Linked DNA regions of Arabidopsis thaliana. The protein of the gene in region 1 binds, or shares a complex with, the protein of each later gene. Each region holds a gene or a part of one and is shown in the gene's direction. Other genes may lie near its edges.

Region 1 (4,092 bases):
TTTTCTAATCATTTTAAGTTTATTCCACTTTAATTTTGTAGTTTTTTTTTTCTTTTCTTCTTTATTGACTGATATTATAAATCACAAAGTTCAGGATGCAATGATTAAATTTATTAGATTACAATCAATGAGTATTAGTTTATAGTTATTAAAAATATTTAATATAAAAAATAAACAGTCATAAAATAATGTTTAATTTTTAATGTGTGTAAAATCCAAAACATCAATGCTTACGGAGATTTCCTTAAGATTAATAAAGTTGATTTTTATGTAATAAGAAACAAAATCTCATTAAACTTTAAAAGTAAAAAAAATAAAAATATGAAGTGTCACTTATGGTAGTAGTATCCAAAACAATAAGTTAATGGATTTGTTTCTAAAGAAAAGAAAAACACTATAAACAGAGGATCCTCACCATCAACTTTCACTAATCATCACAACTTCAACTTTTCAATACTCAGATTAACAATGGCTATTTTCTCCAAATTACATCTTCTCTTCTTCTCCTTCATCATAGCCACATGTATACATAAAACATTTCCAACATTTTAAGATGACTACTTTGATTTAATAATTTATCTGATAATTTTTTTTTGTTGTCCGTCCTAGTAATTTTTTTTTAATTGTATATTCTTCAAGGTACAATTTCTATTGTCTCCGGCACCGTCTTCACTTTATCAAACCGCTGCAACTTTACTGTGTGGCCCGGAATCCTAACCGCAAACCGCACACTACTCCGCGGCGGCGGATTTGCCTTAGCTTCAGGTTCTTCTGTAAACTTAACCGTTTCTCCAGGTTGGTCTGGTCGAATCTGGGGTCGAACGGGCTGCAACTTCAACGCCTCTGGTTCCAGAAAATGTAAAAATGCACCGGTGCAAGAGGAGCACCACCAGCCACACTAGCAGAATTCAGAATCGGCTCCTCTGGAAAGAAATACACCGTACAAGATTCTTACGACGTGAGTCTCGTCGACGGTTACAACGTTCAGGTGAAAATCACACCACAAGGTGGCTCAGGCAATTGTAAAACCGCGGGATGTGTTTCGGACGTGAATGCCATTTGTCCAAAAGAGCTACGCGTTAACGGCTCATCGGGTGTTGTGGCGTGTAAGAGTGCTTGTGAGGCTTTTAACAAACCGGAGTATTGTTGCACCGGCGCTTTCAGTAAACCGGAGACTTGCCCGCCGACGAAATACTCGAAGATATTTAAAGGAGCTTGTCCCACTGCGTATAGCTATGTGTACGATTATGCTTCGAGTAGATTTACATGTACTAGTGCTAATTATGTTATCAGTTTCTGTTCTTAGGCATAGTATAGCCTTTTTTATTGTTATTATTATCAACAATGAATAAATAATTAATCACTATTAACATAGTTTTATGTTTTTTTTTCATCACTATGAAATGTATTAAAGCAAAAAAGACTAATGTTAAAACTTAAAAGATTAAAAATAAAATAAAAAGAAGTTAAAATGACATTTAAATAACGTAAAAATAAACGACGTCGTTTAGCCAAAGTTTCTACTATCTATGTATGTGGTGGAACGAGGTCCAATGGTTGAACAAGCAACCTTATGATATATTTTATGAGAAGAGGCAAACAACACCTAACATTGGATTCGAGCTCTCTAGTGAAGAATCCGCCATGGCTGTTCCATTTCTAAGCTCTTCTCTACAACTCACACCCACTTCTCCGATTCTCTTCACTAAAGTAACACCAACACCAATAATCCACAACCACAGATCAACATGCACTATACCCACAAAGCCTCGTCTACGTCTCCTCCGCCGCTCCGCCGTCGCTGGAACCGCCGTATCTGATCAAACAGAAGGAGGTGGAGATGTTCTTTTAAACCCTGAAGAAGAGAAACGTGTTGAGGTGGCGGATTATGATTGGACAGAGGAATGGTATCCATTGTACTTAACTAAAAACGTCCCTGAAGATGCGCCTCTTGGCCTCACCGTCTACGATCGTCAAATTGTTTTGTATAAAGACGGTGAAGGAACACTTCGTTGTTACGAAGATCGGTGTCCTCATCGGTAAGATAAATCATCTAGCAAAACCACAACCACTAGTTTTGTACTTTTGTTTAGGAATCTGAAATTGAGTTTTGTCTTTTTTTTTATAAAGGTTGGCTAAGTTGTCTGAAGGACAATTGATTGATGGGAGATTGGAATGTTTGTATCATGGTTGGCAATTTGAAGGAGAGGGCAAATGTGTCAAGATTCCTCAGGTTCTTTGTTTACTGATTTTTGCTATTTCGAGATTTTCTCTTTACTCTGTACTTACTGGTTTTGGGTTCTGTTTCTAACAGCTTCCTGCAAGTGCTAAGATTCCAAAGGCTGCTTGTGTGAAGACGTATGAGGTGAAGGATTCACAAGGAGTTGTGTGGGTGTGGATGTCAACAAAGACACCTCCAAACCCTGAGAAGCTTCCTTGGTTTGAGAATTTCGCTAGACCCGGTTTTTTCGACATTTCGACTACTCATGAGCTTCCTTATGACCATTCCATTCTTTTAGAGAATCTGATGGATCCTGCTCATGTTCCTATCTCTCATGATAGAACGGATTTCACTGCTAAAAGAGAAGATGCTCAGCCTTTGGTTTTCGAGGTCACAGAGCGAAGTAATCGGGGTTTCGCAGGGACTTGGGGCCGAGAGAAAGAAGGTGGGAAAGGGAGTAATTTACTTCGGTTTGATGCTCCTTGTGTTCTGCAGAACAATCGAGAGTTCGAGGGGAAGGATGGAGTGAAGAACTATTTTTCAGGGCTGTTTCTTTGTAGACCTACAGGGCAAGGGAAGTCTATGCTTATTGTTAGGTTTGGGGTCACAAAAAGATCGCCTTTGGTTTCGGTGTTACCTCAATGGTTCTGGCATCAGAATGCCTGCAAGGTTTTTGAACAAGACATGGGGTTTCTATCGTCTCAAAATGAGGTTCTGATGAAGGAGAAAGTACCAACTAAGGACTTGTATTTGAATCTAAAGTCATCGGACACATGGGTCGCTGAATATAGAAAGTGGATGGACAAAGTTGGTCATGGGATGCCTTACCATTTCGGGCATAGGACCATATCTCTCCCCAAAGTCCCTCCTGTCGTGGAACATGCCCCGGCAGGGCTCATTGCAGCTCTCTCTGCTTCTTACCCTGCAAAAGGCGGAATTGGGACTATGCATGCTCCCAATTTGGCTAACCGGTACTTCAGACATATTATTCATTGTAGAAGCTGCAGCAATGTGATCAAATCTTTTGAGCTCTGGAAAAATATCCTCTCTGCCACGGCAGTGGCTTTGACGGCTTTGGCCATTCTGGTGGTTAGTAGACAGTGGAAGGCTGTCCTGTTAGGTTCAGCAGCATTGTGCTCAGCCGCAGCTTATACCTGCTTAAGAGCTATAAATCTAAACACCAATAACTTCATTAGAACACACAGAAGACTATGAAAATGTATAGTGTCATGTTTCCTCTTCTTCCAACAATATGTATTTCATGAAATAAATTTTTGCTTGTAAACGCAATTATATAATTCAGAAGGTTCCAATGTTTGCCATCAATCTTACAGTTTAACCATGAAATTTCTGTTAAACTGGTTTAAAGTTCTATGTTCTAAAACTTGAGCCATTTCTTCTCATTCTCTTTGCTTACTATAGCATTTGAGGCAGCTGCTTGACATGCTAATGTACTTGCCAATGCCTTTCGGACTTCTTTCAATCTTCTCGTCGCAGCCTCTGAAACAACTAGATCTTTCTTGTTTCTGTTCACCATCTGTTCTAGTTTCAACATTTCTAACTTCAAGTCTCTGACTTCATCTTGGTATTCAACCAAAGCTTTCCTGTCTACTGGACCTTTGTTTTGCCTATTTTTTACAGACTCGCTGTGTACTTTCTCATGGCGGGTAGGAAAAATTTGTTCATTGATTAAGCTAAACAAATCTGGCTTCGATTCCTCTTCCTGTTTCGCTGCTTTAGCTGCTTCTGCAAACTTCTTCCCACGCTTCCTTTTCCCACCTCTGCTCCTTTTCTTCTTTTGTTTCTCGCTTTTACATTCTCCATTCCTAATGTGCTCAAGAGCATAATCCAGTGACCGCTTTGCTGGAAGT
Region 2 (6,082 bases), on another chromosome or scaffold:
GTTTAGATTAAGGTAGAGAGTAATGTCGAGCTCTTATCAACATTTTTCATGGTTTGAGGCTTGAAGAACATTCACGTTTTTCAAGCTCACTCATGTGGACAACCTTGGCCCTTGTCTGAGAAGCAGCTTTTTCTCATATTCAGTTTTTCTAAATTTGTTGTTTTAAAAAAAAAAATTGGTTTGTTTTTTTGGCTGTTCTATGATGATTATATTGCTTTAACCACACTGAAAAGATGGGCTTGAGAATGTGATGTGGTTCTTCTTGATTTAATCCAAAGAAAGAGTTCTTGAGCTATATGTATTGCTTGATGACACTTTGATCTAAAATACTTGAAGGGGATTTGTTTCCCTTTGTGTTTTAGATCAAGGAAGAGATCAGTGTAGAGCTCTTGTTCGATATTTTTCTTAGTTTAAATCTTGAAGAACATTATCATTTTCTCAAGCACTCATATGTGGAATCATTGTGCCCTTTGTCTGAGAAGCAGCTATGAATTCTGTTTTTGTCTTCGATATTGTTAAACGTAGCTGATTTGTAAGATTACTTTGTGATCTTTTTTGGATGCTTGATATGTATCCAACCAAGAGTGGGTTTCTTCTTACAAAGATATTGAGTTAGGAATTTTAATGTCATTTTATGTTCGAATTGGGGAAAATTCACAAAAAATTGGGAAAATAGAAGAGAGCATTATTCGATGTTTACCACATGGTGGAATAATTTGACAGAACAATGTACTTTGGGAATGACATATGGAACAAACTGTGTAAACCAATTTGATGATGAAGGTGAACGAGTTACATATAGGAGACTTACACTTCCATAATAATATTCAGAAACTATATGAAAGTGTATCTTTCTTTATTACTAAAACTCTTTTCTAATAAGAAATGTGTAAACTATGTAACTCGGCAACGGTTCCAGACTCTCTAATCCTAAATCAATGTTAAAGGCGTAAGGCTCTTGAACCTGTTCATTGTGAGCTTTGAACTAAGTATTCAATTTTTTGGACAATCCGAAAAACACAACAGTATAACTACAAATGGATTAGTCCCATTTGGGCGTAGTCTCATTCGTTTGGACGAGAAACACAACGAAAAACCTAGCCAATTTTGTTGTTCTCATGTATGGGCTTAATTGGGGACTAATCCATCTGTGGTTCCCCTTGTTTCCATAGTTCGTAATTTTATTCGTTTTTCGTCTTAAGTTTTCCCTTCTTTAGGTTTAGTTTCCGGAGATATTTTTGTTTTCCGCCGGCTTTGTGTTTCAAATTTGTATTCCACCCTTTGTATTTCACAACCTATAATACAATGGAAAAATTCTGGATGAAAAAAAGAAAAAGAACACAGTATATAGAAAAATCTGAATCACAGTACTAACATCATTGATTTTCTGCTACAAAAATGAGTGTACACTGATTCTTAAAATAGATACGGGCTATAACATAACAAAAAGAAAAAGTGGGGGATGGCTTTTGCAATAATCTCGAAAGAGTTTCTCACTCACATCACACCCTTGGTTTATAAATAAAACTCATTGATCTTGACGGTGAAAATATCGCCACCTGTTAATTTGTAAAAAGGTTTCAGTACACTTAGCTACACTGGATCCAAGTCTAGTGCTAAACTCAAACCTCGTGGTTTTAGACCAAAATCTCTTCTTCTTCGTTTCCTTCTTCCTCATCATATCTTTCATCTTCTCCACCAGAATTTGTTTTAGGCTCTCCTTCTTCTGTTTCTTTTTCTCCCAAAGAAACAATTAGATATGGAGAACCTTACCCTAGTTTCTTGCTCAGCTTCTTCTCCAAAGCTGTTAATTGGATGCAATTTCACTTCCTCGCTGAAAAACCCTACTGGGTTTTCTCGTCGGACTCCTAATATTGTCCTCCGGTGTTCCAAAATATCTGCCTCTGCTCAATCTCAATCTCCCTCTTCGCGTCCGGAGAACACTGGAGAAATCGGTTAGTTTGCAAATTCCACTCGACACTCTATTATAGCAAATGCCAAAATTTTCCGGAAAAATTTCCAGTTTATTACTTTTATCTATCTTATTGAAACTCAAATTGCGAACCCTTTTCGACTGGTTTAATATGAGCTTATGAATTGCTATATCTCTTAAAAAAATCCACACTTTGTGAATTTGCAATTTGAATTCTTGTAGAAACCATTCATTGTTAGAATTGTTTACTTTAAGTTTATGTTCGATTTGCAGTGGTTGTGAAACAGAGAAGCAAAGCTTTTGCAAGTATATTTTCTTCGAGTCGTGATCAACAGACAACTTCTGTTGCTTCCCCTAGTGTGCCTGTGCCACCACCATCTTCATCAACCATGTAATTTTCCTGGTTTTGGACAATGTGCTTAGTTTGTATGTCGTTTGATTCTTGGTTATTAAATTGTGTTTTTTCTTTTTTCTTGTAGAGGATCACCACTTTTCTGGATTGGTGTTGGTGTTGGTCTATCAGCTTTGTTCTCATATGTGAGTATCAAGATTCCTTCCTAATTTTTTTTTCCTCTATAAATATTCTTTCTTGCTTCAATATTGATTAATAAGTGCTTGACCTTTTTTCTTTTCTGATGGCATTGCAGGTAACTTCAAATTTAAAGGTACAGATACTTGGCCCTCTGGTTTTACGGGACTTTTGTTCTCTAGTCTGTTGCAGAACCACGATTTTATGCTTCATGTCAACTCTAGTGTATTGTGCTCATGTATCTGAGATAGTTTTATTCACTAAACTGGTTATCTTAACAAGGTGAACTGTTTGCTCACACTTGTTGAACCGTTTATATAAGCATCGAACTTTTGCCTCTCTTTTTTTGGGTAGTCACTTGATTCGTAGATGGTAACCTACATACCATTATGGTTTTAGTGATGCAACTCAGGTATTCAGACTTATAGTCATTTTCGCAACTCCAGTATTTGATTGAAATATATTATACAAGTTGTCATTGCTTTCTCTCATTATTCTCTAACCGGCTGTTACTCTCTTTGGATTTTTTTTTTTGCTTTGGTTTAGAAATATGCAATGCAAACAGCTATGAAGACGATGATGAACCAAATGAATACGCAAAATAGCCAGTTTAATAATTCTGGATTCCCATCAGGATCACCTTTTCCGTTTCCATTTCCTCCTCAAACAAGTCCTGCTTCCTCGCCATTCCAATCTCAATCCCAGTCTTCAGGTGCTACCGTTGATGTGACAGCGACAAAAGTAGAGACACCTCCTTCAACTAAACCGAAACCTACACCTGCAAAGGATATAGAGGTGGATAAGCCAAGTGTTGTCTTAGAGGCAAGCAAAGAGAAGAAAGAAGAAAAGAACTATGGTAGATTCTTTTTCTGTTTCAGAAATCAACGTCTTTTCATTTGTATTCTCAATTTTGACTTTCTTCCTTTCTCATTTTCCAAGCTTCTAACTTGGAAGCTGATTTACTTTTGGATGCAGCCTTTGAAGACATTTCACCCGAGGAAACCACAAAAGAAAGCCCATTTAGCAACTATGCAGAAGTCTCTGAAACTAATTCCCCCAAAGAAACTCGCTTGTTTGAGGATGTAAGTTTCGTTTTCTTTTGTATTTCCACAGCACACCAAGTGGTGATTTAAAAACGTGACATAGTTTTGCTAACCTTCTATGCTCTCTTATTGATCTCTGGGTGAAGGTCTTGCAAAATGGAGCTGGTCCGGCAAATGGTGCCACTGCTTCAGAGGTTTTTCAATCTTTGGGTGAGTTATTGAATTTCAGTTTTCATCACTATCAGCGCACTGTGCATGATTCATGATTAAGGCTACGGATTTCAATTTTATTTTATAGCATATGCCAACAATTATAAACAAAGGAAGATATGAAATTGGTGATAAAGAGGAATGAGTTGGCTTCAAAAGGATCTACTCCGTTACTTTTGTCCTTCTGCTAGTCGTTGATCTGTATTGGTATAACCATATAAGACTTGCAGGATATTACCTTGGCAATCTGTTTCATATCTCATGTGTTATGATTCTTTTTTCTTATATGCTCACGTTATTGTCTCTCTTTTCCTTATTCTAAATTTAAAACTGAATCCTGAGTCTGTCTATTGTTTACACAGGTGGTGGGAAAGGAGGGCCGGGTTTATCTGTAGAAGCTTTAGAGAAAATGATGGAAGATCCAACAGTCCAGAAGATGGTTTACCCGTAACTCATCTTCCCTAGCACATTGTCTTTAAATGCATCCATTAAGTTTATCTTTAAAACTGGTTGCTTAGTGGACATTTGGTAACATTGCATGTATAAATGCAGATACTTGCCTGAGGAGATGAGGAACCCAGAAACTTTCAAATGTAAGTCTTTTAATATTTAATCCTGCTATCATTCTTTTATTAGTCCTCATTTTTACATATTTCTAAAGACTAAAGGTTACATGACTAGCTTTTGAATGATGTAATTCGTTTATAGGTTGATCCAATGGTTATCTAAATTTAAAATACAGTTTGGTACTTATTGTCTCCGCTTGGAATTTTGTAGGGATGCTTAAAAATCCTCAGTACCGTCAACAACTACAGGACATGTTGTAAGAGCTCCATTTTACGAACAATTTAGTTGTTTCCATTGCTTTTAAGAATGTCTAAACTATGTAATTAAGAAATACTCTTGTTTGTTTCTTTTCATGAATTTAGGAATAATATGAGTGGGAGTGGTGAATGGGACAAGCGAATGACAGATACATTGAAGAATTTTGACCTGAATAGTCCTGAAGTGAAGCAACAATTCAGTAAGACAAATCTCAGTTTGTACCAAGTTAATAGTACGTTAAATAGGTCTGATACTCAATGATTGAATCTGTATTTGTCAGATCAAATAGGACTAACTCCAGAAGAAGTCATATCTAAGATCATGGAGAACCCTGATGTTGCCATGGCATTCCAGAATCCTAGAGTCCAAGCAGCGTTAATGGAAGTACGTTTTCTTTTAACCTGAATAAGAGAATTGCTTAATTTTACCCCACTTCTTTCTTCATACAAAACAGAAACCAATTACATTCTTGTTGTTGTTGCAGTGCTCAGAGAACCCAATGAACATCATGAAGTACCAAAACGACAAAGAGGTAATAATACTGCCACTTCTCCATTGCCCAAAAAGGCGATTACTTTTTTAAGAAATTTGAGGTTATTATACATTGATTGCAGGTAATGGATGTGTTCAACAAGATATCGCAGCTCTTCCCAGGAATGACGGGTTGAAAAAGCTCACGTCTTTGGTTCTATCAAAAATGTCACATTGTCTTTAGCTTTTTGTAGGGAGAAAAAAATGTTTTTTTTTTTGCAAAGAGTCTTCAGTTTTGGTCAGATCAGAGAATTGTGTACCATGTTAATCTTAAACGCGGTCGGGAATTGGAGTCGTGTGAAAACGCCGCTGCTGTTGTTTGGTATGAATATTATACAATAGAATTTGTTGTCTTACCAAAAAAAGTCTATGAAGACACTGAAGAGCAAATTATTATTTTTAAGGGAAAATTTCCAAAATAAACTTCATGTATTCAAAATTTGCTTGAAAAAACCTCAATTTTTTTTGTTTGAGATTGTGTGAATAAATCTGCCAATATTTTGTTTTAGCAATTTAAAAAATTGAAGTTTTTTTCTCGCAAATTTTAAATAGTTGTGATTTATTTTGGAATTTTACCTTATTTTTAATATCCAAAAGGAGAAGTGACGTGGCGATATCGAAGCGGTTTAATGAAGTGATGGCCCCATCTTAAAGAAATCAATGACCCTTATCGTTCCACTTCTATCGGAGTCGGAGTTTTTTTTTGTTGTTGTTGTATTCCGTACGTCGGTCGTTGTCGGGAGAATTGGCGCGTGAAATCCTTGGCTCCGTCGAATACGTCTGCCTCCGACGGCTGTGAGTCGCATGATTGAGTCGTGGGTAAGTATCCTTGTGACTTCAAATTTGTATTTCCGTTCTTTATAATCCCCTGACTCTTGAGAAAATCGAGGAGAAAAAACCATCCTTGCTTGGTATTCATTTGAAGAGTGTTTTAGTTATAAAATCGTAATGTTTGACGGTATGTGATATTCTGTGAGCATGATTATTCAGAAAGCTTTTGTCTTTTTAGTA
Region 3 (4,716 bases), on another chromosome or scaffold:
CATTGGTGGGATGATGTAGTGGTACATTGACAGTATGTGGTTGATTATCACATGATGTTGTTCTTCTAGTTGATCGAGCGCTTTAACGGGAGGTTGCCTGGATATATTGGCTCTGGGACGGATAGATACTCCTTCAGCCATGTTGATGATGTTGTGGAGGGTCATGTTGCTGCAATGGAAAAAGGTAGGCTTGGTGAAAGATACTTACTCACTGGGGAAAATGCTTCTTTCAAGCTTGTCTTTGACATGGCTGCACTGATTACTGGAACCAAAAAGCCAAACTTTAGCATTCCATTATGGGCCATCAACGCATACGGATGGTTATCTGTTTTAATCTCTCGGGTTACAGGAAAGCTTCCACTTATCAGTCCTCCGGTGAGTTTCAATTGCATTCATTAGTTGCCCACATATTATAGATTATCTTATTAGGTATAGAATAATCTCAACTCTTAGTATTTTGTGATGAACAGACAGTGACAGTGCTGAGACATCAGTGGTCATACTCTTGTGATAAGGCTAAGCTGGAACTTGGTTATAACCCTCGAAGCCTAAAGGAAGGATTGGAGGAGATGCTCCCTTGGTTGAAGAGTCTGGGCGTCATTCACTACTGAAATTCAAATTTCCCATCTTTCAGGTATTTCGAAGAATAATATTCCCTTGAATTCAGTCACTATGATGAGTGATGACTACATTTTTACTTCTCCCGTTACACTTTTAACCCAATCGATTTTTATCTTGTTACAAAACTGCTTCGTTTTGATCGTGTATGTCAAATAAATGTGAAACATTGTGTGCAAATGCTGATGATCATATTTTAAGATGTTGAGCTACGTGTGAGAGTAGGAAAGAGGGAATATGTAAATGTGGGAAATAATCACATTTTATCTGCCAAGAACTATATGATTACATCTATAACATATATGATCAGAAGATAAATACTAAGTATCCATATAATTTGTTCATGATGGTTTTGATCTTTTAGGATATCCACTTTATTGTAGCTGCATGGCCGTTGGTAGTCAATCTTCTTTTCAGTTTATGCTGTTCAGTGTTCACAAAACAAATTAAATAGGTCAATTAGAGGATTATGTAGTTAGAAGCTCTCACAACTACACATGTTTCGGCAATATTAAAAAGAAACTGCAGTAGCTACCTGTTACAGTCCACAGTCTTAGAGAAAGGGACTCCTATATTAACACCACATTTAGCAGGGAGTTGTTTGGCAAAATCATCATTAATTCCAGGGATTGTATTAGCTACACTCTTCAAGCAATTACAAGCTACTTGTCTATCGGCTTTCTCAGGCGCTGCGGCTTTTAGACTATTAAGTCCGTTGCAGCACATTGGAGACGGATTTCCTCCAGCTTTTAGATAAGGCAAACATTGTGCTAAGTACATGTTTACCTGCGGACATGCTATGGCTTCTCCATGATACGCAATCCCCAATAAAATCGTAATCACAAGTAGTAACATTTTTCGGGTTGTAGTAGTAATGTTCCTCATATTTTTCAGTTAACGAGAGTTTTAACAATTTTGTTTTCTTTAGTGTGTTGTTTGCTTGATCTAGTAAGTATTTTATAAGGAGGAGAAATTTGGAGGAAAAAAATGTCATCGACATGAATTTTGAGTGACAAAAGCTTTTTGTAAGTCATGTCATGTGTTTAGAATGGTGTGGAAGTTGAGTTTAGAAAGTTAATAAATGCTTTGTCACCAAACTTTTGATCAAGGGCCATATTAAACGTAAACTAAAACCAATCAAGTCCAATAAAGCCCAAATAAAAAAGCCCAAACGAATTGCTCTGAAGCCTTTTTCTTCACTCTCTTCATAGTATCAAAAATTGCTTCTTCTTCTTCTACTTCTTTCTTCTCTCTGCAAATCCAAAAATGGAGTCATCAGTGAAACCCAATCCTTTCCTCTCCTTCTCTTCTTTCATTCACCACCAGTGTACCCGCTTCAGCTCCGACCTCTCCGCCCGAATCGAAGACACGAAACGATTCGCCGAAACCCTAGCTACTCGACGTTTCTCTCTTCCTACTCCGCCGCCTTTCGCCTCCGTCTCACAATCCAAGTCTGGAACCCCGACGACGACGTTGAGTCCATCTCTTGTCGCTAAAGCTCTCGCTGGGACGTCGGTGTTTACAGTCAGTAACACCAATAACGAATTCGTTCTTATCTCGGATCCTACCGGAGGCAAGTCTATCGGTTTGCTCTGTTTTCGACAAGAGGATGCTGAAGCTTTTCTTGCTCAGGTTTCGCTTTTTGTTGTATTTTTCTCCTCCGAACTTTTTTAAAAAAATGTGAAGTTTCTGAGCTCATAATTCTCTAATATACTCCTTTAGGCGCGACTTCGGAGAAGAGAATTGAAAACCAATGCGAAGGTTGTTCCCATTACTCTGGACCAGGTAGTTCCCTTTCCTTATGATCACTGCATTAGATCAATGTGGAAGAAGCCATTGGTTAAATCAAATGAAACAAACAAATTTCAGGAGCTCAAATTCTAAGTAGACTTGTTCATGTCTGGCCTCATTTTAGTTGTTTATATTATACGGTAATAGGAACACCTGTTGGCAGTTTGAATGAACGGGAGATTGTGTTCTTGTGCACGTAGCAATGTTGACAACATCGTCACAAGAAAGAATGCAACGATGGCATGATTATAATCCCTCTAATGGCTTGGAACTTATAAGTTATAACTACGTTTAGGGAACTTTTTGATGTTATTTGCGTAATCGTGGTAGCTACATTCCCAGAAGTTAAGATGATGTTGTTTACAGGTGTACTTGCTAAAAGTTGAAGGGATTTCCTTTCGCTTCTTGCCAGATCCAATCCAAATAAAGAATGCGTTAGAGGTTGGCTCATGCTAAACAGACTTTTAATTATATGTGTCTATAGCATTTATTTGGCATTTCAATCTTATCCATAAGCTATATTTTCTTGCGTCTCAGCTCAAATCCTCAGGAAATAAGAATGGGTTTGATGGAGTTCCGGTTTTTCAGGTAAATTGATATACTCATTTTCTGTGTTTTTCTATTATACCAATATGGATTCCTTATGTTTTGGTGTTTTTGCTTTGTTTTCTCTTGATATCTATCTGTTGTTATTGGCCTCTACAGTCTGAGCTTCTTGTTGTGAGGAAAAAAAATAGACGTTACTGCCCTGTATATTTCAGTAAGGTTGGTTAGTTTCTTCTCCCACGTTAAAGAATACTAATAGATCTCTCATAAGCCAAAACAGAGGAAGATAACTCTTACTTTCCTGTTCTGCGTGACCACTTTCAGGAAGATATAGAGAGGGAACTTTCTAAATATACGAGAGCATCAAGAGGAGATCAACAAATTATGGTAATGATTCATACCTACCTTCTATGTATTTGAATCTTCGATAGGCCACGTAAGATAGAAACAAACACCTTGATCTAAAGACATGGTTTACTAACAAGTGGGAGTAGCTAGTAGCTGTGTTGGCATCATATGTAATTTCTAGCATTTTTTGTGATTACATGTTCTGCAAACATATAACACCATGTTTTCAAAGGAACAGCGAGGGAAAGGGAAAAGTCTTAGAAAACTTTAGAAAGAGCGGAATTCAGATTGTACATGCCTTCATATATCTGAGTTAAAATGAATTCCAAGGTTTATCGTTATCAAAGTTGCATATCAGAGATCAATATATAAAGTAATTTCACAGCATTGGTTTTGTTAAGAGTTTTCTTATCTTCACCATGGAACTAATCTTTTTGTTTTGCAGGTTGGGAGTCTGGAAGATGTGTTGAGGAAAATGGAGGTACTCACGCTTCTTCTTTGTTTAAAGAAACCTTAAAGTATGAAAACCTGGTAGTCTAATAAAAATCTGAATTGAATCAATGTAGATGAGCGAGAAGAATTCAGGTTGGGAAGATGTAATATTCATTCCACCGGGAAGAAGTTATGCACAACACATGCAGGATTTGATCAAAGAGTAAAACCATAATAGACACAATGTGTGTATTTTTACTTGATAAAAAAAAAACAGCCTCTTTTGAGATTTTGCAATATTATCAATTGCCCAAAGAGCTCAACACAGTCCCAAAATTTAGTTTTCTCCTCTCCTTTTACCACTTAAACACATCATCAACATGTTACTCGTGGTTCTTACATCCAGAAAAATATATTTGGCATATACGGATACCTAAATCAAATAACATAATCTTGTTTGTTTTAAAAAGTGGAGATGTACGTTATTCATCTGTCATTAGAATGTAGTATCAGCCTAATTATTCAAAGGAGGTTGAGGCCTCTAAAATGATATGTTGGTTTAAGCTAATTATTGATCAAATTTGGTTGATATACGATTATTAAAACTAAGATGTCTTACCAATACTTATTTTCATTTTCTTTTCCTCTCATCATAATCGCTTTGACATCTCAGCTTAATGATAATGTGATTATTTTCATCCTTACTAATTGTTACTGCCTTAAAAAAAACAAGTTGAAGTAAGAAAAAGAAAAGGAGATGAGATTGTTTCAAAAGCATTGATCCTTTCCTGAAGCGTAAGTAAGCGATGTTGACAGCAGAACTAAACTTGTTGCTTGCTTGACTTCCTCCGTCGTCGCATATTGCACCTACTAACATTTTTTCTCTTCTTTATTCTTCCAACCAATTGTAGCCTATGGTCTTTTGTACCAATTTTTCAAAAGTTGTAGTTGGTAGAGGTTTTGTGAACAAATCTGTAACAT

Evidence for each region. Proteins that work in one complex are often made in the same cells at the same time.
Region 2: TIC55-II (region 1) and TIC40 share a complex: the UniProt entries of both Arabidopsis thaliana proteins name them as parts of the tic complex.
Region 3: TIC55-II (region 1) and Tic22-IV share a complex: the UniProt entries of both Arabidopsis thaliana proteins name them as parts of the tic complex.

The regions. Positions count from the first base shown.
Region 1 is NC_003071.7:10,573,394-10,577,485, forward strand, and holds TIC55-II (translocon at the inner envelope membrane of chloroplasts 55-II), read left to right. Parts: upstream 1-1,548; 5' UTR 1,549-1,644; coding exon 1,645-2,039; intron 2,040-2,130; coding exon 2,131-2,233; intron 2,234-2,314; coding exon 2,315-3,436; 3' UTR 3,437-3,545; downstream 3,546-4,092. Other genes in the region: AT2G24810 (Pathogenesis-related thaumatin superfamily protein), read left to right, coding at 469-523, 640-795, 854-988, 1,071-1,306; AT2G24830 (zinc finger (CCCH-type) family protein / D111/G-patch domain-containing protein), read right to left, coding at 3,600-4,092. UniProt on the Arabidopsis thaliana protein: Involved in protein precursor import into chloroplasts. Part of the redox regulon consisting of TIC32, TIC 55 and TIC62.
Region 2 is NC_003076.8:5,449,049-5,455,130, forward strand, and holds TIC40 (hydroxyproline-rich glycoprotein family protein), read left to right. Parts: upstream 1-1,571; 5' UTR 1,572-1,759; coding exon 1,760-1,955; intron 1,956-2,206; coding exon 2,207-2,324; intron 2,325-2,412; coding exon 2,413-2,470; intron 2,471-2,580; coding exon 2,581-2,598; intron 2,599-3,008; coding exon 3,009-3,318; intron 3,319-3,437; coding exon 3,438-3,544; intron 3,545-3,651; coding exon 3,652-3,715; intron 3,716-4,077; coding exon 4,078-4,162; intron 4,163-4,267; coding exon 4,268-4,308; intron 4,309-4,492; coding exon 4,493-4,538; intron 4,539-4,644; coding exon 4,645-4,739; intron 4,740-4,820; coding exon 4,821-4,924; intron 4,925-5,024; coding exon 5,025-5,072; intron 5,073-5,154; coding exon 5,155-5,208; 3' UTR 5,209-5,529; downstream 5,530-6,082. UniProt on the Arabidopsis thaliana protein: Involved in protein precursor import into chloroplasts. Part of the motor complex consisting of a co-chaperone (TIC40) and a chaperone (HSP93) associated with the import channel (TIC110).
Region 3 is NC_003075.7:16,063,884-16,068,599, reverse strand, and holds Tic22-IV (Tic22-like family protein), read left to right. Parts: upstream 1-1,702; 5' UTR 1,703-1,884; coding exon 1,885-2,250; intron 2,251-2,340; coding exon 2,341-2,403; intron 2,404-2,775; coding exon 2,776-2,850; intron 2,851-2,946; coding exon 2,947-2,997; intron 2,998-3,114; coding exon 3,115-3,174; intron 3,175-3,279; coding exon 3,280-3,342; intron 3,343-3,748; coding exon 3,749-3,784; intron 3,785-3,869; coding exon 3,870-3,962; 3' UTR 3,963-4,163; downstream 4,164-4,716. Other genes in the region: FLDH (NAD(P)-binding Rossmann-fold superfamily protein), read left to right, coding at 70-375, 471-611; AT4G33355 (Bifunctional inhibitor/lipid-transfer protein/seed storage 2S albumin superfamily protein), read right to left, coding at 1,032-1,041, 1,154-1,503. UniProt on the Arabidopsis thaliana protein: Involved in protein precursor import into chloroplasts. Imported into the intermembrane space via the Toc translocon. May be involved in the import pathway used by proteins without a cleavable N-terminal pre-sequence.